Linked DNA regions of Rhinolophus ferrumequinum. The protein of the gene in region 1 interacts with the protein of each later gene in a pairwise test. Links are inferred from orthologs where the notes say so. Each region holds a gene or a part of one and is shown in the gene's direction. Other genes may lie near its edges.

Region 1 (7,313 bases):
ATAGTATTTAATTTACCTCAGAGTTTAGTATTTGCTCTTTTTAAAGAAAAATCATTTAGTTGAAATTTTCGGGGATAGGAAGTGGAGAAAATTATCTAAACACGTTTTTTTTCAGATGAGATTTGAGAATTTGTCTTTCCGGCAAATTTAGAAATTCATCCAAACATATTTTCTTTTAGACAAAAATTTTTTCAATAACTAATACCTGCAACACAAGAGAAAATATAACAAATCCACACAAAGTAGCAGGATGACCTATTTGTTGTTTTTTTTGTTTGTTTTTTTCCCATGTAAGCAAATTGGAACACCGTTCTCAACTTTTCAGATGTTATTCTAGTGATGTCACATTATTCTGTTCTGTGTCTGCTTGACTCAGTAACACTCATGGAGAGAAACAGGACCCTCTGCTGCCTTTACTGACCACCTACTATGGCCACATGGCATACATAGCATTGTCACAGGGAGCAAGGCACTGTGGACGCCCTTGGGGGAGCTCAGGGTGGTGGGTAGCAGAGCATCAAGCTTTTAGGAAGGCTAAAGAGAGCAGATGACTTCAAGGAGTTAGAGCAAAGAGGAATGCCTTTCTGCTGAGGGAATCGAGGTTTTAGGAGGAGCTCGGCCTTGAAATGATAGGATTTAGAAGGCTGAAGGGAAAGGGAACTGCAGGTAGAGAAGACACGTTTCTGCGGTACTGAAATCAGCACACTGATCCTAAACCTTTGCTGGGATTATATTAAACATTACTTTAACATGACCCCTTCAAGGAAATTGAAAGAAGTAGTCCCAAAGAAGACGGACAATAAGGTACAAAGCCAATTTTCCCATTGACAAACAGTTATTGGACATAAAATACTTGACAGCTGCTGTGCTAGATACTGGATATAAGAAGTTATGAGTAACTTGGAACAAGTTTATAGTAGGGTTTAAAAATTGGACCCTCTCTTCAATTTATGGTAAAATGTTTGATCCACGGAGCTATTCTATTATCTACTTTCTTCTAGGCATTTAAAGAATTCTGCAATATATACCATATTTCCCCGAAAATAAGGCTTAGACGAACCATCAGCTCTAATGCATCTTTTGGAGCAAAAATTAATATAAGACCCGGTCTTATTTTACTATTATATAAGACCAGGTCTTGTATGACAACATAACATAACATAACATAACATAACATAACATAACATACATAACATAACATAATACCGGGTCTTATATTAATTTTCGCTCCAAAAGAGAGCATTACAGCTGATGGTCCGGCTAGGACTTATTTTCGGGGAAACACAGTAGATGATGTATTACAGAGTTGTACACCTGATATCTATGTAACTTTACTAACAATTGTCACCCCAATAAAATTTAATTTAAAAAAAAGAATTCTGCAAAGAATTCCATTATGTGTATTTTCAGGGAAAATCCATTATGAGACAACATAAAATAGTTACATGTATATGGATGCATACATTATACAATCGCATTCAGTAAGATAGATTTCATTTCATAATAGGATAGACATAGAATGCTGTTCATTCTGAAAGATTCAAGTTGCCTAGATACGCCATACGTAGAGCACTGGGGAACATCTCTTGGCCCGAGACATTAACATGTGCTTTCTTCACTTTTACCTGCTGCCAGGCCATTAATAGAAGTTTGTCCCAGGTGCCTTTCTTTGTACTTCCTCCCACCCTCCCAGATCCCACTTTATCATCATTCATGCCCACTGTGTTGTACCTCTACTACTTCATCTGAATGATCTATCTAAAACATGTACATATGTTTTAAGGTCAACCAAAGGCAACTATGGCAACACAATTGTTAGGCCATGTGTGCAGCTGAGATGCAAGTATTTATTATCTTAGAAAAGAAATGTTAGAAGTCAGTAAAAAAAATTACAGGACATTCTAAATGTAGAGGAAATGTAGATATTTCCATGTGATTATCACTAACTTTTATAAGTGTATTTCCATAGTTATTCTTCTGATTACTCAGAATTCTAATATAGATAATGAAAGGATCTTAAGAACACATTTCAAACATGTCACAATAGCCAAGAACATATTCACACACATGTACACACACACAAAGGAAAAAAGAAGATGTAAGTGTCTGTCAAAAGGCAAAAAAATAGGAAAGATGATGACAATTATACAAATATGAACATAGTACTGACATGTAGCCCAGGGATAATTATAGAGCTGTAGAATCCATAAAAACGGAATGTTCCAAAAGATAATAATGTCTGTTTTTTTTCCCTTAAATTTTATAAGCTACTACCCCATATATTTTTTTCCCTCACAGCAAGAATCAAAATCTTTTCAAGTTTCACTGCTCAAATGCAATGCACTAGATCACATGCAAAAACAAAACCAAAAAAGCCCAGGTCATTTCCAAATTGATGCCAAGTAATTTATTTAGAAGATTGAACTTAAAAAGTCATTTCAAGTTCATAATTTTACAGTTGCAAAAGTTGGTAATACAATTGATTTTTCCTAGAATATTAGCAAATTTTCAATGTTACATTTTAAGGGAAAACCCAAGAAAACACCTTGGAAATGCCTGGGGAAAAAAAAGAATGCATTAAAATGCACTGAATTATAAATTGCTATTTCTGTTAAAATTATAGTTTTTCGTGGTAATTACTTAACAAAGTATATTTACATAGACATAAAAATCAAGTTTAAAACAAGGGTAACTGATTTCACAGTTATTAAACCAGAAAAGGTTTTTTATCAAAACAACAAACAGGAGAGATTTATAGACAAAAAGTATACATTTACATGGACCTCCAATTAAAACTATTATGTAGTAGATTAAGCAAAATCTCACTTCTGAATTTCTGGGAAATGTATTTTATAAATTCAAATAGCTAATATAAGTCAGAGATCACTTAGAATTAGATGTACATTAATTATATAATTACTAATTTTAAATAAATTACTCATTTCTTAAATGAGGTTATAAATTATAGACCATAATTAAAGAGATTTTTTTATTTTAGTGAAAACAAAAATTTACAGATATATGATATAAAATATTCACACATGGAATATATCTTTTCTGTGACACTTAAGAAAACTTTCAGTGTAAGCTACAACATCATATTTGGAGATAAATCCATGAGTTCTAATTTTTAAAAACCTGTAAGATGATTTGCAACTTTAGAATATCTGATGTGTGGTGTGAAAATACTGGTGCAAATCATTATTTATTCTTAAATGCTATGTTTTCATTCATCGAAGATTCCTAAACAAAAGAGTCGGAATTTGGTTCACAGTTTATAAACTTTGCACAGATTTTGTTATGATAACCTGTTATCCACAGAGGAAGTTGTCCATAAACAAAAACAATCTGGTATTTGCTAATTTTATAAAATCCATTGTAAAACTTCCTGGTCTGAAGATTTAAGCAACCAGGTATCAATGTGAACCATAACCAGGGAGAGTGAACAATGATAAATTAACAATATCAAAGAAAGCAGATGATATAAAGAGAGTTAACACTCAGTATTAACATATGTAATGAAAGTTTCATTGTTTTTTACATTGCCTAAGTGATCTAGTAACCTAAATTATGGAATTTCTAATTCACCTATGGTTGTTGTCAAATTAAGTAATTAAAAATGCAATGCAGTATAGAAAAGACATTTTTCTGTTAATTTTAAAGATATTTACAGCTTAATATTTTTTAAACAAATTATGTACTCAAATAAATTTTTACAATCATTTACTGGGTCCTCTGACTATTGATTGACAATTATTTCTGAATTACATAAATGTGTTGATTACCAGCAAATAAATCTTGTTTTAAGATTTTAAAAGCATTGATAAGTGTAATTATTAAAATGGAGGATTGTCATTTGTGTCTTGGGTTTAAAGTCTAATTCATGATTTGTAGTGATCCAATATTTTATATAAATACAAAATCCAACAATTTGCTTTCTTAAGTCTAGAAGATATATGAGATCATAGATATCTTTACAAGTACAAATTTTGTTCTGAAATTGGATTTTATTTTAGAAGACATGCCCCTAAACACAAAATGTATTTTATGAATTATATTAAGCACACAGAAACACAATTCTTCACTTTCATTATTTAAGAAAAAATTATTAGAATACATTGCAAAATATTTGCTAATGGAAATGCAACAATTTTTAGTTACTTAACCTGCCACTTCACACTGTAGTATAGAAATCAATTTTATAAAGGCAAAATTTTGATCTAGTGTGAAATTAGCAACATGGTTTAGTTCAAAAAGTCAAAAGATTTATAGAGGTAATATTTCCAATTTAAACAGAATTTTGCTGGGTTTTAATTTTTCCACAGAGCACTGAAATAATTTTTTTTAGCTTGGGTTTAAGATGTTAAAATGGTTTCAAGTATTCTACAGATACAGATTTTTGGACAAAACTGAATTCTTTCCAAAAAACAGTTAATTTTAAGTTTTGTTTTACCCTATGGTAAAAACTCTTGGAAACTTTTTTTTCCTTCCAAAATCTCATTTTCACCTGAAATAATTGTATTCAGGTTTTCTCAGCAGGTAAAGTATAAATTCTTACAAGGTTTCAAATTTCAGAATTCCAATAATGCATTTAAACTGAGCACCCACCGAATCACTTTCTCTTCTCTTTGTGTGTGTCTATTATCTTGCTGTTCTGTTATTTACACTGAATTTTAGTCTTTTTAGCTCCCCAAACCCTCAGCAGTTGCTAACCACTTAATAATTGTGAACCCGCCAGCCCCTTCAAGTAGATCGTTAACCACAAGAGTGCCTGACAATTTCCAAATCATATCCTCTGTCCAAAAGGAAAAGATAGGGCTTTGTGAGGCCGAAAGGAAGCGAAGGAAAACAAAACAAATGTAGCTCATGTAGAAAGTGAAAAGTGCTTGGACAGATTAGTATTTTCTGCAAGGCGTCCTGCCAAACTTTTTTTTTTTAATAGAGAAAAGTTATTTTTCGGTCTGATTTCTCAGTTTCTTGGAAAGTGTGGGTATTTACCATCCCCACCGGCCTCTCATAATTATTGTTGGTTGTTTTGTGTTTTTCCCATCCGTCCACATCACAGACTGCTGATACCCCCGCCTCACTCTGTCAAAACCCCAACTGTGGGCGACCCTGGGTTTGGAAACTCTGCCGACTCCCGACGTCTCATCCCACTCTCCCTCTCACGCCTCTTGTTTTAGTCGCAAGAACCCCCACTCCAATCGCAGTGAAAGCCGGAAATTTTCATTTAACTCCCCCACCTCCGACTCGCCCCCCAGTTGGAGCCGAGAGCTGGGGAGCTGGGAGGCTCAGAGCACAGCCGGGTCTCGGCCGCCTCCCCTGTCTCCGGAAGGCTTTAATTTGCACACTTGCTTGCTACTGCACCGCGAGTCCCCAACCCCGCCGCAGGGTGGGTCTCGAGCAGAGTAGGTCTCCCGGGCCTCCGCCCCCGCCCCTTGCTGCCTCCCCGGCTCTGCCCCGAGCCTCGGCCAGAGCCCCGCGGCCGTACTGTCTCCCAGCGAACCGTGCGGGCGGCGCCCTCCGCGGTCCCTCCGCCCTCCGCCGCTGTGCCCACCCCCTTGCGGGAGAGAGAGCTGGTGACTCCTTCCTCCAACCGGGTTACCTTCTCCGCGCCGCGCTGGACACGTGCGGACATCAGACTGACACTTGCAGCCCCCTCCGGAGGCTGGACGAGGCCAGGCCCCTCAGGTGAGGAGCTGTGCACTCGGGTGGGTGGGCTGCGGGGTGGGGGGTCCCCGGGGAGATTGGGGGGCTTGGCTAGGGTCGGAAGCGAGGGTGTAGGTGTGGGTAGACTATTGTGGGGTATGTCCTCGGAATCCGCGTAGGTTAACCCCTTACGAACCGAGGCGGGGCAGTTACGGGGGCCAGTGTGGGGGAGCTAAAGGAGTTTTTCCTAATCTGGCAAGAGGACATACCACACTAGGGACACCCCCAACACAGAGATCCTGAGCCTGCTCCCTCACAACCTGCGCACAACCACCTACTTAAGCAAGCACTCCTTATCCAGTTTCTTCAAACAGAATTTAAACTCCACTCGGACACTCACACAGTGATCCACATTTAGGGTTGAAAATGGGGGGACTTAGTGCGGGAGATCGTGTTTCCGTGCCCCATCTTGATTTCCCCACGAGAGCTCCCTCTCCAGCTCGCTGAGATGTGGGTGTGGGTGTGGGCTCCACCTTCCCACCACGAGATACGAGATAAGTGTTAACGCAGGCTCCTTGCTGGCAACCCCTGCGGGCATGTTATGCACACTTAGAAGAGTGCACGCAGGCTGCCAGTGCCCAGGTTTGGAGCCCGGTAAGGACTCACGTTTGCTTTAGTTTCCCAGTTTACTTTTATAATTTAAAATATCGGAGTTAAAACACACCCCGCAGTGAGCAGCTCCCGCCCCACAGCGCGCCGGCCAGTGTGCACGTGGGCGCATCTGCGTGTGCGCACACGCGGGAGCCCTGGTCGCCGGTGCGGCCTCTTGTCGCTGCGCTGGTGGCGACCCTTGCGGTGCTTGGCAGGCTTCGGGAGAGGCACATGAAGCATTTCATTGAGTGTGAAGACAGAGAGCAGAGACAGAAAGCAGAAGGAGGCGGCTGTAGTCTTTGTAGTCGCAGAGGAATGCGGAAATGTTGAAGCACTATGTCAAACTTTTTTGAAATGGGGTCAAGTCACATTCAGCCAGCGTGGGAAAGCAACAACAACAACAACAAAAAAAAGTGAAGGGTGGGGGGAAGGCACTGCTGCTCCCGTTTCTCTCCGCCGGAGCCGAAGGTCGCGGGAGCGAGGGGGGAGAGCCTGGGCGGGCTGTGCGGGGCCGGGCGGGGGCAGCGGGCGCAGTTCCCTGCGGGGGTGGGACGTCGGCGACGTTTCCTTCGCTGCAGAGCCTGGGGCTGGAGGGGAGGAGGGGCGCGGGTACGCCGACGGGGCTGCGCTACTGGCGGTGGCTCCTCCGCTACCTGTGTGGCCCTCGGCCTGGCTCAGACCCCCCGGGCAGGCTCTGGGGGCTCGTTCTTCGGCCCCCGCCTGGATTCACCTTCACCTTTTAAGGAGAGTTTTGAATGGATTGAGTGTGAGGGTGTCTGTCCTCGCTGTGGTCCCTTCCGCCCTCACACCGTGAGGGTCGCGCCATTTGTTTCTTTAATTCCTGGAAGAAGGCGAGCGGGCCAGCGGTTATGGGGCAGGTAATTCCGAAGTGCCCCGGGAATTCCGGACACGCGGCCGGCGTGGCTAACGTCCCGCCGAGGCCGCGGGGCGGCCGTGGGTTGGCGGATTCCTGGGTCCTAGATTGCAAATGAATGGGGAGGGAAGGTGACCCC
Region 2 (7,074 bases), on another chromosome or scaffold:
TTTTTCCAAGGGAGGGGCGTAAGATGCTAGGTGGGTGAACAGACGGCAGGCGCAGTTCTTCCTAACCCACGCCTATCGCATCTGCCGCCCCAGGCACACAGCCCCGGCGCAAGCTGCAGCGCGCCGCAGGGGCAGTCTGAATGCGCAGGCCAGGCCGGCCTGTGCCCCCGGCTGGAGCCCCAGGACGGGCGGGGGGGGCGGCGGCGAGAGGGCCCCGGAAGCTTATTCACACCTGGAATCGCAATGCCCAGGCTTCTGGGAGACTCCTGTCGGCTTGTTCCTACCCACTCCCGTTCCCTGTGTTCTCCAGTTGCCGATCTTTCCTTTTCCTTTCGCACATTTTTCTAGTTTGCTCTTATTCCCTTCCTATTGACCCCCAATTCCTCTTTCTGTACCTCCTTCTGTTCCTTTCTGATATTCCGGGAGCTCGCAGCCAAGACTGGGACACTTAGACATCCACTTTCAAGTAACTGTCGGGTTTTCGGTTTTGGTTGTCTGACCATTCATCCCTCAGTGGAGAAACATATACATAGTTCTACGCTTTGGAGGATGTAGGGGGAGGGCAATGGCCCCCATTCCTGAGCCTAAACTCACTCCCCTCCCCCAACACGGCCTGAGTGCTGGGACGCGGAGGGAGCCGGGCTCGAACTCGCGCGGCTCCAAGGTTTGGAGCCGACGGCGCGATCACCTGGCTGGCCGGCATCCGCCAGGTGAGCTTGGGAGTATGTATGCTTAGCGTTGCAGGTTCTTGCAGAAATGTACCTATAAACACACAACACCCGGCTGCACCCTGCACCTACAGGGTTTTGTACACTTTCCAACCGAAACTCCAGAACGCGGGGAGTAGGGGTGGGGAGCCGGCAAAGGAGGGAATAAAAGTCCAATAAAACTTGCGTTCGCTCAAGTTTATCACTGATCCTACAAAGGACAGGATAGTGTGGGGTGTTTTTTTTGCCTTGAGGGGTGCAAAGGGGATAAGAAAGAACTAACAGTCTTCTTTCTCCCTTCTCCCCCCCCCCCCAACAATGACCAGTTTTGACTTAAAAGCCAGAGCACAGGCTCTTCTTGGTTTTTCTCCATACCTAAGTCTACTCTCAAAGAAAACGCGCACTTTTGCCCAGAAGGCAACGTGCGTTTACCCGCGTGGCTCCGGGAGTGCTTTTTACCCAGCAAAATTAAGGATTTAACACACAGTCGGAGTGGCGACCGAAAGGGAAAACTCGGTTCCCAGTCCAAATCTCCCAGAGACATTCCTGCCAACCTCCGCACCCTTTCGCTCCCCACCCCGCGTGTTGGAGACTGAAACACGACTGGGGGACCGATTCGTGGCGAAGTTGATGTTCGGGAGCATTCCGTAATAGGAAGGGGAAGTGAACGGGGGAACTTGCAAAGGCCAGCCTGCCACGCGGGAAGCGTCCGAACTCGCGGATCTGGGTAAATTGAGACAGGGACATCCGCCCGCTCCCCTCCCCTACGCCGGCACCTCTGCCCCCCAACCCGCCGGAATTTCTCCGCGAAGCCTGACGGGGGTAAGGGTAGGAGTGGAAGGGGCTAGAGGGCCAGGGACTTGAGCGTTCGCCACCCAGGCTTTCTTCCCAGGGTGGGCGAGGCCCCGAGGACGACCACCCGCCTCTTCCCCGCCCTCCTCTCCCCTCGAGGAGACCCAGGGCTGGGGATGCTTTCCCTGCAGGGAGGTGGAGAGGAGACCGCGCTCGATTAGTTATCAAGTGATGTCAAGAGGCTGGAAGCCCTCGCCGGCTCTGTCCTTGCCTGTCGGGGTAGATTTATACTTTAAAAACACCTCTCCCCCCTAACCCCCCAGCAGCTTGCTTTGATCCATTCAAAGGTGGCTGAGGTGAAGTTTGAGTGATTCTTTTATGGGGGTCTTAAAATGTAACAATGTATTTACCCGCAGTGACTCAAAAGCTTGAGTCGGGAAGTCTGAGTAAAATCAATAGGTGATTGTCAGGGACCGACTCTATTCCGAGGAACACCGTACTCAGCTGGAGTGTCATCACTTTTGAGTTTGTCATCGCCGAGTGTTTCATTTTGAGTTTGCAACTTGGGTTTTTCAGTGAGCTTTTTTCCTTCCCGAAAGCTAATGGCTTCTACAGCAATTAGACATTTTCCTCGCCCGCCCCTTCCCTCCCCTTTCTATACAGGAGATTGGACACTAATTCCCGCGGCTATTGATAAGGTCGGAGGCGCCCGGCCGCTCCCCAGCCTCGCCCGCGGGTCCCTGTTCTCCCTCCGCCCAGCCTAGGCTTCCTTTTGATGTAGCGGGGAACACTACCAACTGAAAAAAAAAAAAAAAAAAAAAAAAAAAAAAACCCAACAAAAAAAAAAAACCAGAAAAAAAAAGAAAAGAAAAAAAAGTAATCTGCCCGGTAACAATCAGCGCGCAGTAGCAGGAGCCCCAGAGCCATTGGCTATGCAAATAGAGGGAGGGGAGACGGCGCCCCAAACTCTTACTCACCCTTTTAAAGCGATATCCCCTCCCCCCACCCCTTCCGCCCCACCCTCGTTTAAAGGGGCTGGCCCCCGGGCCTGAGTTAATCGCTAGCACCTCTGGTTTATTCACTGCCCGCCTTGTCTATTCCACCTCCCCCCTCCTTTCAAGGGAACAGAGTGAGCAGCTCACTCAGCCCGCGCCTCCCCCGCCCCGCTTGCTCTCGGGCCCCCTTTTTCGGAGAAGGAGGCACTCTGCGGACCTCGGTGTGTCCAGAGCCCGGACCCACGCCATGCTCACTGCACGTGTCAGCTCCACCAACACGCGGGGGTTCTGGGCTCACTCCCCTTCCTCCCAAAGTGAAATAATTCTGAAAGGCAGGGTGGGGGGGTGGCGGGAGGAAGGAGGTAAGGAAACGCCACCATATCCCCTGTGAAAGCAGCCTTGACCCGAGGATGCATTTGAGCACGTGTCATAGCCAACTGCGCGGGCAGCGTCTCCACCGCAGTCCCGCTCCGGGGGAGAAAGCCTGGCTGGCAAGTGAGGCGTGAACCCAGAGGGGTCGGCGAGGATGCAGGCGAAGGACCGGGGGGTGGAATTCAGGGGCCTTGGGGTAAAGGAAGGAGTGGTGTTGTTTGCGCAGGGGGGGTGAGGGGGAGCCAAACCTAATCCCTCCTTCGCCCCCCTCCCCTCCCCCTCCAGGGCTATTTCCTAGAAAGCTGTATCAGTGGCCACGCTCGCGGCAGACACCTCGGGCGGCTTGTCAGCAGATGCAGGGGCGAGGAAGCGGGTTTTTCCTGCGTGGCCGCTGGCCGCGAAGGAACCGCTGGCAGCCCTGCCCCCGGCCGCTGCAGCTCAGGGCGCCTCGCCTTGTCTCCCAATGGCGCCGTAGCGCCCCCAAGTACAGGACGGTTCTGCTCAGGGTCACATTCTACCACGTCGGAGAAGCCGCCCCCTCCCTCCTATCGCCCTCCCTTTCCTCGCCACACACTCTGCGGAGCGGGGGGGCGGTGTAGGGGGGACATTGTTCTGGTTCCTTTGATTGGGCTTTTGAAACAGCTTTGAAATGATCAGGAACATAAATATCAGGAACACAACCTTTATATCTGGGTATGCGAGGTTGCAATTTTCTAAAATCGCCCTCCTTGTTTTTCACTGAAGGGATCTATTTCTAAATTGTCTGAGCCCACCCCATCAAGTATTCTACCCATCATTCCTGAATCTTCAATACGTGGGCAGGAGTGATAGGATGGGTTTTGAAGAAGCCAAAGTTGGAGGGTCGTATTTTGGCACGATACATTACAGAGTGCGAAATTAGAGGGAATAAGTAGGAATCGGTGGGTTTTTTGTGGGTTCCCCTATCAGGGGCCCCTGGCATGCGGGGCTGGATGGAGGGAGAGGGCCTCGGAGAGCTAAGGAGAAGGGTGGGGGGGCGGGGGACCGCGTTTGAAGTTAGGTCGGGCCAGCTGCTGTTCTCCTTAATAACAAGAGGGGAAAGGAGGGAGGGAGGGAGAGATTGAAAGGAGGGGAGGCACAGGAGGGGAGGAAAGGGGGAGGAGGAACCAGAGAAGGGAGCGGGGCGAGAGGGAGGAGAACTGCCCAGCCAGTTTGCGTCACTGCCTCGGAGAGCAGAAGAGGAGAGGGAGCTGGGGAGAACGAGACAAGTTTGGAGGGGAGGGCAGGCAGAGTCGGCAGCCCCCGAGGCTCTCCTCTCCCACCGCCCATCCCTTTCCTCTCTTCTCCCCCAGCTCCTCTCTCTGCCCTAAACTTCCCCCCCCCCCCGAAAACCCCTATTAGCCAAAGGAAGGAGGTAAGGGGAACTCTCTCTCCTCCTTCCTCCCAAAAAACTTTTCCATTCCGGAGAGAGCAGGGACCGAGTGGGCACCCGGCTGGCCATGGAGCTGCTGTGCTGCGAGGTGGACCGGGTCCGCAGGGCCGTGCCGGACGCCAACCTGCTCTACGACGACCGCGTTTTGCAGAACTTGCTCACCATCGAGGAGCGCTACCTTCCCCAGTGCTCCTACTTCAAATGCGTGCAGAAGGACATCCAGCCCTACATGCGCAGGATGGTGGCTACCTGGATGCTGGAGGTAGGTCAGCAGACTGACGCTCGGTCTGTCCCCACCCGCATTCTCGGCCCCCACTCACGTAGGGACCCTAAAACTGAGGGAGGACAGCCTCCGCGCCCGCCTCCCGGCTCCCGTGTGCGAGGTTACCTCGCGCTCTTTGGCGAGACGCGTGGCTGCTTTTCTGTTCTTTGCAGGATGCGAGATTAACTGGGGGAGGGGAAGAGGAGGGAAGAGGAAAATCTGGGAGAAACGAGGCTGTCCTGGGGCGGGGGTGGGGGAGCATCCCGAGCGCGTGTGCCCGCATGTGGCTGCCTCTTCTTCCCACCCCCATCCCGACCTGCCCTCTGCGAAGCCCGGGTTGCTTTCTGTGCAGTGAAGAAGGGAGTAGGACCGTGAAATCGGTACCCAGAAGTAAAAGGCAGCCTCCCCAAAAGCCAGAACAAATTCGTCCTAGCCTCAGGTTCCCGCATGTGGTCGCGACTCCGCGTTGGCACTAAGGGGGGAGGGGGAAGGAGGAGGGAGGAGGAGAGAAACGGGGAATTCAGGAGCCCCGGAAGTCACATTGAAGAAATGTGTGTTTTAGGAGAACCCAAAAGAAATACTTCTTTACCCTTGCTCCAAATCTTTGCCGAGAGCAAGCCGTGTGCCCACGTATGCACAGCTCTGGACCTGCCGCGGTTTCGCCATGTTGCTTTGCAAAACTCTGGTTGGAAAGGCTGGAAAACGTCGCCCGCTCCCCTTCGCACCCCATTATCTCGGCCACCCCACTTCTAATAGTGCCCTCTCCCCCAACCCCCACTTCACAATGGTTACTTACAGTTTGGCTTTCCAGTTTCCTCGGTGCGGAGATTTGGGTGGGGTAGGAAGGGGGGGAGGAGGTGTGTGTAGGGGGAATATCGGGGCACCCCTAAAGGAGAGATCAGAGCCCCCGTGCCTCTCTCCGGCGGCTCCCGGGTCCTCATCTTTCCCTCAGCTCGTCACCACGTCCCCTAGTTTTCTGCCCTTGTGGGCCGCAGCCGGACACTCCCGCCGCGGCGCTCACCCCTCCAAGTTTCCCCTCGGGATCTAAAGCCCCAGGGGTCAAGATACAGACCTTTCTGGCACCCGAAACCTCCGTTTCGGGAAGCCTGGATCCTCCTTGGGGTTTTCACGCCAAAAGGGCTTTTCTAGGATATTTCCTCGATTTTTAATTATTTTTTGAAACCGTCCCCCCTTGCTCCGACTCCAGCCGCCGCGGCTGCGGCGCTCTTCCTCCTCTGCGCCCTCCCCCTCCCTTCTCCACCTCTCCCCACCCACCCCCCCAATAGCGGCGCCTGGGCCGCAGGGACCCCCCCGGACATTTTTTCTAATTGTCGGGAATGATAGAGCAGAGTCTGGGGGTCCGGATGGGGCCAAGAAGGAGACCCTCGGAGCTTCCAGAATATTTTTATTGATTTTTTGAAAAGATGACGAAATCCAAAAAAGAGAGTGAGTGAGTTAGAGTGAGCGAAAAAATGAGTAGGCAAAGGGAGCGGCGTGGGGCTGCGCTGCTACTGCGCATTTCTTTGCCTCTCGGTTTTGGATCTTTAATTCACCTCTTATTTTAGTTTCCTGGGGAATAAATACCACTAAACAGAGAAGCTATTTAGATTTACCCCAATTTCCTCATCTTTATTCTTACCACATATTCTACTCCCCTCCCCCTCCCTATAAAAATTAAATATTTTTATTTCCATAGATTGTGCTTTTTCACTTTTTTCTCTTTTCCTGATACTATTTTCTCTCCCTCCCCCCCCCCCAACTCTTTCCCACATTGTAGGTCTGTGAGGAACAGAAGTGTGAGGAGGAGGTCTTCCCTTTGGCCATGAATTACCTGGACCGCTTCTTGGCTGGGGTTCCGACTCCCAAGACCCACCTGCAGCTCCTGGGTGCTGTCTGCATGTTCCTGGCCTCCAAACTCAAGGAGACCATCCCTCTGACTGCAGAGAAATTGTGCATTTACACCGACAACTCCATCAAGCCTCAGGAGCTGCTGGTAACGACTGTCCCCTTTCTGCCTTTCATCTTGTCTCTCTTCACGCTGTCTCCTGGCCTCTTCTGCTTTTACCCACTGCTCTCCAAACAAATTCTTGGGATGCAAAATTACCCACCACTGGAATTTTCACATTTGTGGGAGATATCTCTTTTAAACTGAGGTTTTTTGTGTGTGTTCCTACTGTGTGCCAGACACTATGCTAAGAAGTACTGACTGAGGCTACATCCACGAATGAATAAGCTCTTCATGGAGATAACATTTTAATAAAATTGCAAATTTTCCATCACTGAATTCTGAGAAAACAGTTCCACTTTCCACATGACAGGAATGTGTTCACATGATAGGAATGTGTTGTGGTGTGTCCCCTAAGAACCCGGAGGTCAAAGGTAGTGACTTACATATTTATAAAGTCTAAAGATACCTGCACGTAGATAGCCATTCACTAAAGATCAGCTCACTGACTTTTGCACAAAGTCAAAATGTGGCCCTCATTGGAGGAAGCTGAGGCTTGGACTCCTGCCTCCAGTGGGGCTGTGACCTCT
Region 3 (7,685 bases), on another chromosome or scaffold:
AAGCAAATTAAATATGTATTTATTTAAATATTTATGTTAACTACAATCTTCAAAAACATTAAGATAAAGCAAAACTCTCAAGTTGTTGATCTTTTCAGCATAATCTTCAGGCAATGAAGCTCCCATCAACTATCTCTACTTTGAGAAAATGGTTTCTGGTAACTCATCCTCTCACATATCAATGGCTTCTAGAATCATAGAAAGAGAGACAACCAGGTTACATGCCTCTTTGGTGAACATTTATAATGCTACCTATGAAGTATTTTTGCCAAAATATAAAACCTGAATCACATCGAGACTCTACATCTAAATAATAAATTACAAGAAATACTGGTGACCAAGAAAAATATTAAATGTCATCATGCAGAAGCATTCTGCAAAGTCCAGACTTCAGAAAACTACAGAACTAGCAATTCAATTCCTGCAATAAATAAATTGAAAGAAAAGGTGGGGGGAAGGAAAAATAGAGGGAAACCTATAGATGAAAAGAGATAGAAGAGACTGGTATCAATTTCAACCAATTTCAATGTGTTGATCTTATGTTTGGCTTTATTCAAATAAATAAATTATTAATAACAGTTTAAAATAAATGAAAAGTGATATGGGTGAAAATTAGAGGAGACTGTTATGGAATGAACTGTGTACTCCCCCCAAAAAATTCATATGTTAAATCTTTAAACCTCAGTATCTCAGAATGTGACTATATTTGAAGTATGGCATTTAAAGAGGTGATTAACTTAAAATAAGGCTGTTGGGGTGGGCCCTAACACTGACTAGTGTCTTTATAAAAGAAAATTTGGACACACCAAAGAGATACCAGGGGTTTGAGCGCACACAGGATGACCATGTAAAGAAGCAGCTGGAGAGTGACCATGTGAAAGCCAAGGAGAAAGGCCTCAGGAGAAACCAAAACTGTAAGAAAATAAATTTTAGTTGTTAAGCCACCCAATTTGTGGTATTTTGTCATTACAGTCTTAAGAATCCAATACAGATACTGAAATGATGACTATGTCCACCATTATATTAATCTTAAGAAACACAAATGGAAGGAGATACATTGTGGATCCTGGAGCAATAAACCTCAACTGATGAAATAGAGAGAGTCAAGCCTCCTGGTGGGAGATGGGTCACATACAGTTTGAAAAACCTTCAAAAGCGATTCTGAATTTTCTTCTCTCCCCACTTAGAAACACTGTCTTGAATCCAAACATATACAAGTTATGTCAGTACTTCTTTTGGTCATTTGACTGATTCTATTCACATTTTTATAGTGAGTTCATATATAGTTTCACCAACTAAAATATAAACATTATCACTAGGGATCTGCATTATTTGTAATATTGGAACTGACTCTACTCATTCCCTTTTATTTACATCCAAAATGCTATGCCAATTTACTGTTTACTTTCTCTCTCTTCTTGCTTATAAATTGTCTACCCTATTAAAAAGCATTGCTGTGACAATTCCAAGTTTCAGCTCCCCACTATGTTCTCATCCATTCCATCTCTTAAATGTGTTTAAAGCATTAACAACAGGTTGCGTTTCATCCTAGAGACAGCTGGGTTTCAGGGAGAGGTAAAATGTTTCATTATCTTACTCTATTGTCCAAGACAAATGTGCTATTGTATTACATGTGAAATGTCATCTTTGAAGTCTATTAAGGGTGTGCTGTGAGGTGAGCCATCTGGAAAACACAGTGTAGACTGGAAAATAATTATAAGCCAGTTTATTGCACTTTTTTTCCAGTTAAGCTTACCATGACAGCTGCTAAAAATACTATGTAGTGTAAAGGCTAGATGCTCCAAAGCTACACAGGTTAGACCCTACCTCCAACAATGATTAGTTACTATGCAAGTTAGTAACTAATGATCCTTTAGTCAGTAAAATTGAGGTACTAATGCATGTTGCATAGGGGTTTTATGAGGGTTAAATGAAATAACACTCATAAAGCACTTGCAACAGAGTAGACAATAAGTGTAATTTCTCTTCTTTTAAATATAGAGGATAGTTAATATTCTTTACGTTGAGAATATTAGATCATCCAATAATATTGGGAAGCCAGGTTGAGCAGGATGGTTTTGTAAAGAAGTCCGTTGAGCTTCTATGTGTTTTCCTTTGAATTTCAGGGGAGAAGAGGCTTTGGAAGATCAAGTCTGATGCTTCCTCAGGAATTCTCAATCTGGAATGGATTAGGACCACCCAGATGCGTTTAGCAGGGAAGCGCTGTCCGTGGTGCTAGTCATCGCGCGTACCCCTGACAACACTTCCCCCGCCCAAAATTCTTTTCCAGCCAACTGGTTTTGCGAATCTCATATATCTGTGTTGTGGAAGAGTCTCGGTCACTCTGCCCATTGGCTTTTTCCCTATCTTACCACTCTTTATCTACGTCTCCTTCAACAAAAAACAATTATCTTCCATCTCCTTATCAAATCCAAATAGTTTGTGTTTTTTGTTTTGTTTTTTTCAGACACTTTAGCCATGCCTACCACTAAAGAAGGTGGCTCAAACATTGGCTCAGGCTATCTTTTCCTAACTTTTTTGTTGAGTTTCAGAGAAATCCAAGGTGAGAACACAGGAAACAGTTAATTTACAATGCATTCTTTAGAAACTCTCTTCAGCTGGCAATTCCTCTAAGAAACTTTCCTTGCACCTCCATCGAGAGTTAAGTTCCCCCTTCCTTACTCCCCAAGTACCCTGTAGACACATCTCTCAGTAAAGTTGTCACATTAAATTGAAATTTTTTTATTTCCTAGTTTTGAGTGCCATTAGGGAGAGTTTCTTAAAAGCTAGGACCTATATCTTATTCAACTGTAGATTCCTGGAATATAGGACATGATGAACTAAATTAATTACTGGATCCATTAGAAGGAAGGTCCCAACGACCCTCCTTTAAAAGGCAATCTGCCTTGTTACATTTGGCTGTGCACTAAATTTCAGAGTAGTCAGGCTGTTCTCATAAAGATATTCTGGACTGAGCTCATTTGCCATCTCTTCCACCTGTATCAGTCTGATGACTCAGCCCCTGAGAGTGACTACCAAAGAAAAAATACCATCCATTTCAAAGACTCTGCCTTCCTGCTGTCCATCTTTCCTCTTCTTTCTCCCACCCTACCTACATACCTATAATCCCCGATACACTGCGTGGGGACGAGTCCCAAGAACTAGACAAAAACAGCCCATTGATGCTTTTCACTCAAAAGTAAACTTCTATTTCTCCAACCAGATCAAAGAAAGGAGCCACCATCAACAAACAAAAGGACAATTTGTTTTTCCAGGTAAAAGTAGAGGCTCAAATAAGTGTGAAAGGTAGAACAATTAAGAAACTGAAAACTAAGAAATTGGGGTGGGGTGAGAGAGAAAAAAATGTTATTAATGCTCCCACCTTCTCTTCCCCACCCAAGTAGATTTCCACTCTGCTGAGGATCATTCAATATATCTTGAGCTCTAACCACCGCTTCATGTCCCTCCCCCAGTCTTTGAAGAGCTCTTCCTCATTCTACAGTGGTTTGAGTCCTAGCTAAGCCATGCTAGAAAAAACAGATGGAGTCTCTCATTTGTGAATCAGCAAGCAATTGCCCTCCCTTTAAGATTGTCTTGCTCCTTGGCATTCTGAACCGAAAAATGATGTTGTAAATAAGAACTGTTCAGTGTTAGGAAAGACCCACTTTCATGTAGTTCCTCACCAATGTTTTTAGGCAACAGATACATAACTTGTGGTTTTCTTCCTATTTCAATCAAGCATCAGCTATAATTTTTTAAATCTTTAAAGCAATGCATATGTTAATTCAAACTCACCTTGGAAGATTAGGAAGAAAAGAAAAGCACTTGTCCTTTAAATCTTCAGAAGAAGATTTAATGACAGGTTCAGCCTGTTTAATGATAGGCCCAGCACCACACCCCTGTTTTATTACGTTTCATTATTACTGTATAAATTTCCTTTATTACGCATGACGAATAAAAATCAAATACTTGCTGAGGTGGGTTTAAATAGGTAAGAGTGCAAACAAAAATGAACTGTCCAAATATCATGAAACTGGAATCTCAGATTCTTAAAATATGTATTTTAAGTATCTTACATGTACCAGGTTGCCATTGTCAATCTCAGAGTAGTTCTTTTTTTTTTTTTTTTTATGATTGTATCCACAACTCAAAAACGAAAAGAATAAAAACCAAATGCAAGACAGGATTCTCAGAATTTTTCACTGAAACTGATTTTTGGCTGACTCAAATAGGAAGACACACTCAAAAGAAAATTGCTAAGGTTGATGCCAGATGTGAAGCTATGAAGTTCAAGTATTGCCTGGGGATGAATTTAACCTGCATGACAGGTGCAGAGCTGTCACTTTCAGACATCTTAAGAAAGAGTTATTTTAAACGTCTTTCTCTCAGCCATTTGATTCCACAGGGAGCGACTAACGTTTCCAGCGTGAAACCAGAGAGCCGGAGGCTGAAGGAATGAAAATCCTCTACTCCGCCTGCTGGAAGGAGGGGCTGAATACACTGATTCAACGTTTCCAAAAACTTAGCCAAGGCTTCGCTGGACACCGGGAGAGCGGCGCAGTGGCCTCTGCCCTCCCGGAGTCTGGCGCATGCGTCCCAGCGTGGTCTGAGCTGGCTCCCCCCGCCCCTACGTTCGTCATCTGGAGCGTCATCGGCGGGTCCGGCCTCCCAGCCCGCACAGTGGGACGCGAGCGAGCCGGCTGGCGGGACAGCGGGCGGAGCCTAAGGGGGTGGGGAGAGGCCAGCCCGGCCGCCCAGCTGGAAACCGTTTCATTCCTGGCCGGCTCTTCTCTTGGCCAGAGCGAAGCTCCGCAGGGAGGCAGGACGCTCCAACGCGCCCGCACTCTGAGGCCGGAGCGGCTTTGCGCTCAGCCGCGGCCGCACCAGCCGCCTTTCCTGGGAACGAGCCGCGAGCATCCGCTGATTCGCGGGCGCCGGGAAAAACCCGGCTTTACGACCGGTCGCTTGGCCATCTCACGCGCCCGCGAGGCACAGAAGGACCGCGAAAGGGGACTGACGCTGAGCTGAGCTCTCCTGCGGGGGAGAAAGGCGCCCCGGAGAAGAGGGGAGGGAGGGAGCAGTGTCGCGAAGCTCAAGGCCAGCGGTGGATCATCCCGGCCAGTTGGCGTCTGGGGGCTGCGAAATGCGGGAGGAGGACAAGGGCCTGGTCGGTGGTGGCGACGGTGATGCGGGCCTGGCCAGCGCCGCGGCGCGGGGGCAAGTGGAAATCGTGCGGCAGCTCCTGGAAGCCGGTGCGGATCCCAACAGAGTCAACTGCTTCGGGAGGCGCCCGATCCAGGTAGCTGGGGCCCCGGGGCCTGGCCGGCAGGGGGCGCACGAATGAGGGAGGGTGGCCTCCGTGGGACGCGTCAGGGACCTAGGTCTCCACTGTGTCTCTCAAGAAAGGGAATGAAAAACCCACTGCTTCAGTTTGGTATTCTTTTTAATCCTGGAAAAAATATCAATATTTTTTTCTCCCTTCTCATGATCAGAGATGAAAGGTATAGATTCAATTAGGGAGGGAAGGGCAAAGGGAACGTTTATTTGGGGGAGAACTGCTTTGTATGTCTTTCAGCGATAGAGATAAATTACAGGTTACACATGCTGGATTGGATTTAAGGAAGCATGCAAAAATCATAGCACAGGGGGAAAAAATGCACCGTGAACTTTTAAGCTGGGATGTGAAATTCTTTGTATTCTTTCTTTATGGAGGCCAACTAAATACAAAGGACCCAAAACAGGATTCTGCAACCACAGTACTTAATTCCTTTTACGTTAGCAGTGTCTCTTGAGTGTTACATAAGAAAAATGCTTCTATGGATTTGTACTGTTTAATTATCATACTGAATACTTGGATTACAACAGCATTCCCGCAGCAACTGTCAGGTCCCTTTTAAATAGAAGAGTCTTCATAAATAATTAGCTTCTTCACTGTTAAAATGTGTTTATTCAATATGTTTAACGATTAATACCGTTTTAATTAGCACTGATATATTTTTAAGTCTTTTAAAATCTAAAGTAATGTTTTTGTGCTATACTGTTGACTATTATGGTCATATTTATATAGTATATATTATAATAGTATTCACCTCACATCACCTTCCAGAACCAAGCTTTTATTAAGGAACCTTGTTAATAGTGTAGATTTTAAAGGAAAAAAATGTGTTATTCCTTTTGAATTCTTAGAAAAGTGTTAGAAATAAGGGATAGTTTAAAGCGATGACAATATGGTAAAGTAGTTCTTAAAGGCTTAAAATTATATTAATAATGTAAAGAGAGGTTTTATTTATAGTTTTAACTTAACATTTCCTGAGATATTAAGAACCACTTTTTTCCCTCTTCTCTACATGGGAAATAGCCTTTATATCACTAGTAGAAATGAGAACATATGGTTTTAAAGGGAGAAATGGATGTTTCTAATGTTCTTGAAGCTATATATATATATATATATATATATACACATATATATACACACACATATATATATATGTACATATATATGTTATCTTTCAATCGCATGGTACATTGTATTTTTATTTTTCAATTACAGTTGACATTCAGTATTATTTTGTATTAGTTTCAAGCATGGTACATTTTAAAACACAAAGTCACAAGAACAGATAACTCCATTTTGGACATTTAGTTATCAAAAATTGTTTTATTGTTAAAATAAGAAAGTAAATGCTTGTATAATGTACATGCATACAAATGGATGCTTATAGGATTACTACTCAAAACATCCTTTTTCTAAGTTATGCATTGTTCTGATTCAATTGCTAACACATAAGCTCTTTTTTTTCCAAGTCAAGTTGTCCTTTCGATCTTAATTGTGGAGAGTGCCGTTCAGCTTCAAGTTGTTGTCATTTCAGTCTTAGTTTTGGAGGGCGCAGCTCAGCTCCAGGTCCAGTTGCCGTTGCTAGTTGCAGGGGGCACAGCCCACCATCCCTTGCAGGAGTCGAGGAATCAAACTGGCAACCTTGTGGTTGAGAGGACACACTCCAACCAACTGGGCCATCTGGGAGGCAGCCCAGCTCAAGGTGCTGTGTTCAATCTTAGTTGCAGGGGGCAGCGCCCACCATCCTTTGTGGGACTTGAGGAGTTGAACCAGCAACCTTGTGGTTGAGAGCCCACTGGTCCATGTGGGAATCGAACCGGCAGCCTTCGGAGTTAGGAGTACGGAGCTCCAACCGTCTGAGCCACGGGGCCAGCCCAAGCTTTTTTTATATAGCAAAATATTTACTATTTAACATTATAAAATCCTAGCACATTATAAAATCCTATGCAATGTAAATATAGTGTTTATTTTACGTTACATTTTCACCCTCTAAACTTTAGCACTTCTCTATAACATTTACTTAAATACTTTAAATGGTGAACCAGTTATTAAAAACAAATAATTTGCTTTCATCATCTTATAAAACGACTATTTTTCCCTTTATCCCCAATTTTGGGTCAAATTGTCAGACTGTATTCTATTTATGAACACAGACATACTCATATATAACTGAAAAGCAAAAGCTTTCCACAGGGGATTTACTACGACAGCTAAATAAAGTAAAGCTTATTTTAAATTCAGTTGTTTCTTGTTTTCTCCTCTAAAGCATATATGACTGTCTAATATTTTTAGACCCAGATTATGGTGATGGGGGAGGGCAAAGGAAATAATTTAAGACTTTAAAAGCCTT
Region 4 (7,503 bases), on another chromosome or scaffold:
TTCCTTAGACAAAAGTGGCAGGATTTTTGAGGTCCAGTTCTCAGTGAAAAATGACCAAAATAAGACATCATCTAAGATGCAAGAACCAGGCCAAGGGATGCTTATAGCAGGGAAATGAGTGAAATAAAGAACAGATTGTTAAATCAGTTCCATGGGATATAGTGGATGATAATTGGGGAAAAATAAGGCTAGAGCCCCACTTAATATGACACACTGAATAAATGTGAAGTGTGTCACACACTGAAGGCAACGCATTAAAAAGGAAAACCTTTATTGTATGTATTCTTGACAATGCATAATTTTGGGGGTCTCCTCATAGACTTGAAGAAAGAAAAGCCCTGAAGCAGAGCCCAGAAATCTGCTTTTAAAATATAAGTATTTCTTACATTTTCTTCTAGTAATTGTATAATTTTACAGTGGGGAAGGCATGGTTCAAAGGAAGAAATCATTAGAGAAAATAATGCTACATAAAAATAAAAACTTTCTATTTGTTAAAAAAATAATTCTACCATGAACCAAAAATGAAAGGCAAATAGTGGGGCAGTTGGTTAGCTCAGATGGTTAGAGCACGGTGCTCTTAACAACAAGGTTGCCGGTTCAATCCCCACATGGGCCACTGTGAGCTGCGCCCTCCACAACTAGATTGAAACAACTACGTGACTTGGTGCTGATGGGTCCTGGAAAAACACACTTAAATAAATAAAAGTTTAAAAACAAAAAAGAAAGGCAAATAGTGAACTAAAAAAAAAAAATGTATAAAATATATGACAAAGAAAAAATATGAAAAAGGATATTCTTAAAATGTAATCGAGCACTTAGAAATCAATAAGAAAAACAAACATTTGTGTAAAAGAATGGGCAAAGAGTATGAAATAGGTAATTAATTTACATAAGAAATGTAAATGTCTAATAATGTGTCAAAATATCATTACTAGTAAACTACTTTTCATCTCTCCAGTTTGCTTTCTCCATAAAGAAAAGTAGGTATATCTATACAATGGAATATTATTCGGCCATAAAAAAGGACATTTTTACATTTGCAACAACATGGATGAAACTTGAGGGCATTATACTAAATGAAATAATTCAGACAGAGGAAGACAGATACTGTATGATCTCACTTATATGTGGAATCTAAAAATCCTTACTGAGAGAAACAGAACATTTTGGTGGTTGTCAGAGGTGGGGGGTAAGGGGAGGGTGAAATAGGTGAAGGTGGTTAAAAGATACAATCTTTATAAGATAAATAAGTTATAACATAAATAAGTTATAAGATAAATAAGGTCTGGGAATGTAATGTACAACATGGTGACGATAGTTAATGGTTCTGTATTGCATATTTGAAAGTTGCTAAAAGAGTAGATCTTAAAAATTCTCATCACAACAAAAAAATGTAATTATGTAATAGATATTAACTGAACTTATTGTAATTATTTTGCAATATGTATATATATTAAGTCATTATGTTGTGCATCCTGAGCTAATTCAGTTTATGTGTATGTCAATTACACCTCAATAAAACTGGGGAAAAAATAAAAATATATAATGATGGTTTACCCTCTCATCAAAGATAAACAACCTTCTAACCTGAACAGTCCTACTCAATAATTCTGAAAATAAAGGAACACCTTCCATTAGGAAAGATCTGGTTTCTGGTTATGTACTCATTTCAAAAGCTACATTTTTAGTCCTCTGCACCCTAAAAACCTCTTAAACTTCAACATCTTTGTCTCCCCATAACTTCACATCTGTTCTTTAACATTTTGAAATATGTTTTTCTATTTATTGAAAGAGTGCAATGGTATGATTATTTAACTAAAGAAACTTCATATTCATATTTCGGACCATAGGAAGGAGAAAAGGACTTTAAGATTAAATGAGGTACATGGTACACATTAATTCTGGCACAATAAGAGCTCTTGAATTAAAAAAGATACACACACACATACACACACAGAGGGTGCCAAAAAAAATGTATACACATTTTAAGAAAGGAAAAAAACTGTATTAAAATTGTAATAATATATACTGATAACAAAAGATTAATGCAAGTCATATGTATACATATTTTTGGCATCCCTGGTATATTATAACTAATAAACTACTTTTCATCTTCCCAGTTGGCAGAGGGTTTTTAAAAATAGATATCTAATGTTTATTCATTAGATTGGTTTAGTCTTTCAATAGCAAAATTTAGTAATAACTACATCAAAAGCCTTAGAATGAAACTCACAGATACAGAGAACAAATTGATGGTGGCCAGATGGGAGCAGGGTTGGAGGGATGGGTTAAAAAGGTAAAAGAGATTAAGAAGTACAAATTGTCAGTTATAAAAATAGTCACATGGATGTAAAATACAGCATAAGGAATATAGTCAATAGTATTGTAATCACTATGTATGGTGCCGGATGGGTACTAGACTTATCAGGGTGATCACTTTGTAACTATAAATGTCTATAATCACTATGTTGTACACCTGAAACTAATATAACACTGCATGCCAACTACAACTGAAAAATAAATTTTAAAAATCTAAAAGAAGCCTTAGTATGTTTCATAACTCCAGACTGAGAAATTCCACTTGTAGAAATAATTCACTTCTAGAAATAATCATGAGTGCATACAAAAATATTACCACAAAAATATTTCACAGTATTGTTTCTAATAGGGAAGAACTAGAAATAACTTAAATTTCCAACAACACATATTTGGTAATATGTATATGATATATTCACCCAATGGCATCCTATGTTGCCATTAAAAATAATGTAGAAAAATGACATGGAAAAGTGTTACAGTAAATACTGTTTTAGTGAGAAAAATGCTTACAAAAACAGTTTATGATGATCTCATTTTAAAATATGTGTTTATTCATAGAACAATTTTAGAAAAATAAATATTGACATTTTAAAGGATTATCTCTGGATGGTGAAATTGCAAGTAATTATTATTTTTCTTTTTGTGGCTTTTATTTTTTAAAATAATTTAAAATTTTTTTCAATTACAGTTAACATACATTATATTAGTTTCAGGTGTACAATATACCAACTAGATATTTATATAATTTATAAAGTGATCACCCAGATAAATCTGGTACTCATCTGACACCATACATAATTATTACATGTTGACTATATTTCTTATGCTGTACTTTACATCTCCATGACTATTTTTATAACTATCAATTTGTACTTCTTAATCCCTTAACCCCCTCCCATCTGGCAGCCATCAAAATGTTCTCTGTATTTGAGTCAGTTTCTGTTTTTTTATCTGTGTTTTCTTAGTTGTCTACAATACAAATAAATATTTCCATGATATTACAACTACAATAAAATTTGTTATATAAAAAGAACAATTAATTGACAAACTGTTTAGCATAGACCTTGCCTCTGCTATACAATATTATTTCTTCAGTAACTCCCTTGCTTAGTGTCCTTTCCCTCAGAAGGACCTCTTGATGAGAGGCAGGAATTCCCAAGGCCTCCTCCCATTTGGGAGCATTACTGGAGGCCTGTGGTCGGCCTCGGGGTCACGTGGAATCCAGCTTTGGGGAAACTACAAAGTAACCCAAAGTTTGGGAGGTAGGAGAAATGGCAATTGGAAGATTTTATGGAATCTGAGCAAGAAACTCCTTCACAGAGGATCCAGTTTCTCCGCCCCCTTTTTCCTCAAACTGAAGCTTAAGGCCGACTTCAGGGCTTGTCCAAGGCCACAAGGCAGACTTAATGACAAGATGAGGCCTGGAATCTATGGCCTCTCCACCCTGTTGTGTTTCTGTAATGTGCTGATTTTGATCAGGCCTTCTCATACTTTAATGTGCACAGGAGTCACAGGGGGTCTTGTTGAAATGTAGATTTTGATCCCGCAGGTCAGGCGTGGGCCGGAGAGTCTGCATTTCTAACCGGGTCTTAGGCGATGCAGAGGGTGTTGGCTTTGAGATCACAGTGATAATGTGTAGCAATGGGGTAGAGCACAGATTCTTGAGCCAGACTAGCTCTGCCACAGACTGTTAGTGTGCTTCAGTTTCCTTATCTGCAAAATAAGTATAATACCTAACTCATTGAGTTTTTGTTTGGATTTAATAAGTTATTGCGCATTAAGTGCTCAGAACAGTGTTCACTAAGAACTAGTTATTTTATCAGTATTTATATTCCCCAGAGCAAGCAGCTGGTGAAGTAGGGTTTGACGAATGAATGAATAACCTTTGGAGAAAAGTTCTTTCCTGGGCAACTAATGTCAGAGAAACAAAATGGGAAGGCTCGATGGTGCGGGAGGGGACCACCTCCAAGAAAGTTCCCTCCACCGGGTGGTCAGGAGGGCTCCGGGAGCCCGGAAGCCTTCAGGCGGGCGCCCCGCCGACCAATGCGGCAGCCAGGGAGGAGGGGGGCGCCAGCCAGCCCTTTCCGTCTGGGGCGCCGGCGGCCCCGCCCCTTGGAACGTTGTGACGTTCGAGCATTCCGCGGTTGCTACATCGTCTCGAAGGGGCGGGGCGCCTGTCAGGGAAGCTGCAAGCGCGCCGACGCGGGCGGGTCGGGGCTCCACTGCGCAGTGCCAGCGCCAGCACCAGACCCGCGCTCTCCGGCCCGCCGCCTCGGCTCTGGCTCGCGAGCCCGCACTCCAGTCCTGCCCGTGCGCTGCCCAAGTATGGAGCTGCTATGCTGCGAGGGCACCCGGCACGCTCCCCGGGCCGGGCCCGACCCACGGCTGTTGGGGGACCAGCGTGTCCTGCAGAGCCTGCTCCGCTTGGAGGAGCGCTACGTGCCCCGCGCCTCCTACTTCCAGTGCGTGCAGAAGGAGATCAAGCCGCACATGCGGAAGATGCTGGCGTACTGGATGCTGGAGGTACCGCCCGGACGGGTCTCCCCTCCCCCGCCGTCCCTGCGTCCTCGGCTCCGGACATCCCGGGGCCGCCCTGTTGGGACATCCTGGTCTCAACAACAATCAGCAAGATGCTTCGGTGGCCCAGAGCCCCGGGCCTGGCCTTTCACTCGGGCACCCTAGCCGGCTACCAACGTGGTGTCCCTTTCCCTTCCCTAACCCCGACTCCGCCTGCCAGTGGTTTGGCACCCTAACTAACCCTCTTTTCGGGTCGGGAAAGCGGGACAGGGGCCACCTTCTCCCTTCTGGCTTCTCTAGAGTCTCTTGCTTCCCCCCCGCCCCCCGCCCTGTCTTCTTAGGAGAGCGCGCGCCTGGGAAACCCTGGACTCGGCCGCCGCAGAGCGGGTTCCTGTGTCTGTCGCGGGGTTCTGGCGGGGAAGGCGGTGGGGGTGGCGCGCGCGCTGTTCCGGCGGTCTGGGAAATGAAAAGTGCGGGAGGCAGCGGCAGGAGTCTCCTCCCTTCCTTTTGGGTGTGTGCAGTGGGTGGTGGTAATAGTTAGGTCCCAGCTCTCTGGCTACCGTGGGTGACTCTTCCGCACCCTTCCATGGGGGAGGGGAGTCTCAGTGTGGAATCCTTAAGTAAGGGAGCCTCTGGCGGACCCCTTCCCCCGGGAAGGGGAAGGAGGCAACGCAGAGGAAGTGGGGCCGTCACCTTGGGGAAGGCGCATCCCCCTCCGCATTAGTCCTTGTCACTGTAAGCACATTTACTCCTTCATGCATTTTTGTTCCCGTCCCACTTCCTTCAGCGCCCCCTTTCACTTTTAGTGCTGCTGCGTTTCCCACGCCCCTGCCCCAGAAGTGACTGTGCGTCCTCTCCCCAGGTGTGTGAGGAGCAGCGCTGTGAGGAGGAAGTCTTCCCCCTGGCCATGAACTACCTGGATCGCTACCTGTCCTGTGTCCCCACCCACAAGGCACAGTTGCAACTCCTGGGTGCGGTCTGCATGCTGCTGGCCTCCAAGCTACGCGAGACTACGCCCCTAACCATCGAAAAATTGTGCATCTACACCGACCATGCTGTCTCTCCCCGCCAGCTGCGGGTGCGTGCATAACCCACCCCCAACACATACCACCTCTCCTCACTTACCGGCAAAGGAAAGCTAAGACCTCAGAGGCTTTCTGCCCCATGGGGAGGGCGCGTGGACCGAAGAGGCTATGTATTAGGCAAACATGGGGCAGTGCGTGTGATGGTTAGGGTAGCCCCAACCCAGGCTTAAGCTGCCAGTATGAATTAACTCCCCTTCTCCTGACCTCCAGGGGGTGCCACTGCTTCCTGGTCTTTCCCCCAGATAGCAACAAGTCAAACTGCATGTCTGCACTCACTAGTACTTTGCCTCTGGGTTTACACAACCACCATGAGTTATTTATTGGCAGCAGAAAGACATGCCTGCACTCCCCCACTGGAGTGGGGGAGTGGAATGTGCTTCAGTGGGGGAGGGGGGCTGCCTTGGGTGAGTCTTTATCCCCATGTGGACTTTGTGATTGAAAAGCCTCCCAGAGCCGATTAAAGCCCGGCCCTGATTGCTCTAAGGAAGGGCCAAGGAGTTTCATCCCACCTTCTTTCCTTCCTTTTATATCCCAGAAGACACAGCTCCTTCCTAATCCTCATTCTGAGCAACTTGAGCAGCTGCTTCAGGCCTGGTGGAATCATCTCTCCCTTTCCCCCTTAGCCAAAGGCCAGAGCTGAGGGACGGACTGGGAGCTGAGCCGCAGCTGCTTCCGATGTGATAATGATGCCCCCTCCCCTGGCCCGCCCACTCTGACCAAGGTCTTTCATAACCCTGTGGAGAGCTGCTGTCACTCCTGTGGTTTGGGAAGTGGCTTCCTGGGCCTCTTGCTGGGAACTTGGGCTGGGCTCTTCCGAGGCGGCAGGAGAGTCACCGGTTCTTTTCCCAAAGCCTGGAGAGGAGGTGGGGGCGCTGCTGGGATCTAGGTTATTTAGGGCATGTGGGTCGTCTCCCGGGGGGTCTGGGGGAGAGGCTGGGGGAGCTGGCACCTTCCTCAACCTTGCTCTGTGCGGCCAAGTCTTCTCCTGACCCTGAGAGGAGTCTGGGCCCCATTTCCCGGGGAGGAGGGCAGCATGCAGGCTGCTGTGATTGGCTGGCCAGGAAGCCAGGGTACTGGGGCCCCTGACTGCTGCTTGTTGAGGAACAGGATTCCTCTTCCTGCCAAGTAGCTCTCAGAGATGGGAGTAGGAGGCCGGAGATGGGAATCCGGGAGGCCCCACGGCTCTTTGTGATGAATCTGGTAGTTTTTGGCAAGTCTGAAGGTGGAACTGGTTTCCAGGGCCAGCAAGCACGATGTTTTTGGAGGGGTTTGGGCTGGAAGGTAGAAGGGGACTTCCTTTTTGTGAAAAGATTGGGATGGTGTGTGTGTCTTTGTGTGTGTGGTGTTTTTTCAGAACAGGCAAAAAGCACTCTTCCCCCCACTCTTGCCTGAGCTGGGGGTGGAGTGTGCAGATGGCTTCCTAGAAGGTCAGAGTTGGAAGGGACCTCAGAGAACTCCAGTCAGTCCAAGTCCTTGTGCAGCAGAGAAGATTGAGGCCCAGAGGAGGGAAGTGTCCAGCCTCAGCATTGCACTGAAGTAGATGAGGAGAATCTGGGTCTTCTGGCTAGCCCAGGTGGACTTA

The links.
Region 2: the proteins of CDK6 (region 1) and CCND2 interact in a two-hybrid assay, tested with the Homo sapiens proteins (2 studies listed by BioGRID, with this or other methods). The link is inferred for Rhinolophus ferrumequinum from reciprocal best matches to the Homo sapiens genes CDK6 and CCND2.
Region 3: the proteins of CDK6 (region 1) and CDKN2B interact in binary tests that used the Homo sapiens proteins (3 or more experiments, as listed by UniProt). The link is inferred for Rhinolophus ferrumequinum from reciprocal best matches to the Homo sapiens genes CDK6 and CDKN2B.
Region 4: the proteins of CDK6 (region 1) and CCND3 interact in binary tests that used the Homo sapiens proteins (3 or more experiments, as listed by UniProt). The link is inferred for Rhinolophus ferrumequinum from reciprocal best matches to the Homo sapiens genes CDK6 and CCND3.

Annotation. Positions count from the first base shown.
Region 1 is NC_046303.1:33,410,697-33,418,009, forward strand, and holds the start of CDK6 (cyclin-dependent kinase 6), read left to right. Parts: upstream 1-4,309; 5' UTR 4,310-5,691; intron 5,692-6,238; exon of another isoform or gene 6,239-6,303; intron 6,304-6,372; exon of another isoform or gene 6,373-6,768; intron 6,769-7,028; exon of another isoform or gene 7,029-7,178; intron 7,179-7,313. UniProt on the Homo sapiens protein: Serine/threonine-protein kinase involved in the control of the cell cycle and differentiation; promotes G1/S transition. Phosphorylates pRB/RB1 and NPM1.
Region 2 is NC_046293.1:86,595,891-86,602,964, reverse strand, and holds the start of CCND2 (G1/S-specific cyclin-D2), read left to right. Parts: upstream 1-4,071; 5' UTR 4,072-4,344; coding exon 4,345-4,539; intron 4,540-6,316; coding exon 6,317-6,532; intron 6,533-7,074. UniProt on the Homo sapiens protein: Regulatory component of the cyclin D2-CDK4 (DC) complex that phosphorylates and inhibits members of the retinoblastoma (RB) protein family including RB1 and regulates the cell-cycle during G(1)/S transition.
Region 3 is NC_046295.1:18,101,838-18,109,522, forward strand, and holds the start of CDKN2B (cyclin-dependent kinase 4 inhibitor B), read left to right. Parts: upstream 1-4,675; 5' UTR 4,676-5,143; coding exon 5,144-5,299; intron 5,300-7,685. UniProt on the Homo sapiens protein: Interacts strongly with CDK4 and CDK6. Potent inhibitor. Potential effector of TGF-beta induced cell cycle arrest.
Region 4 is NC_046286.1:11,637,984-11,645,486, reverse strand, and holds the start of CCND3 (G1/S-specific cyclin-D3), read left to right. Parts: upstream 1-4,489; 5' UTR 4,490-4,644; coding exon 4,645-4,842; intron 4,843-5,698; coding exon 5,699-5,914; intron 5,915-7,503. UniProt on the Homo sapiens protein: Regulatory component of the cyclin D3-CDK4 (DC) complex that phosphorylates and inhibits members of the retinoblastoma (RB) protein family including RB1 and regulates the cell-cycle during G(1)/S transition.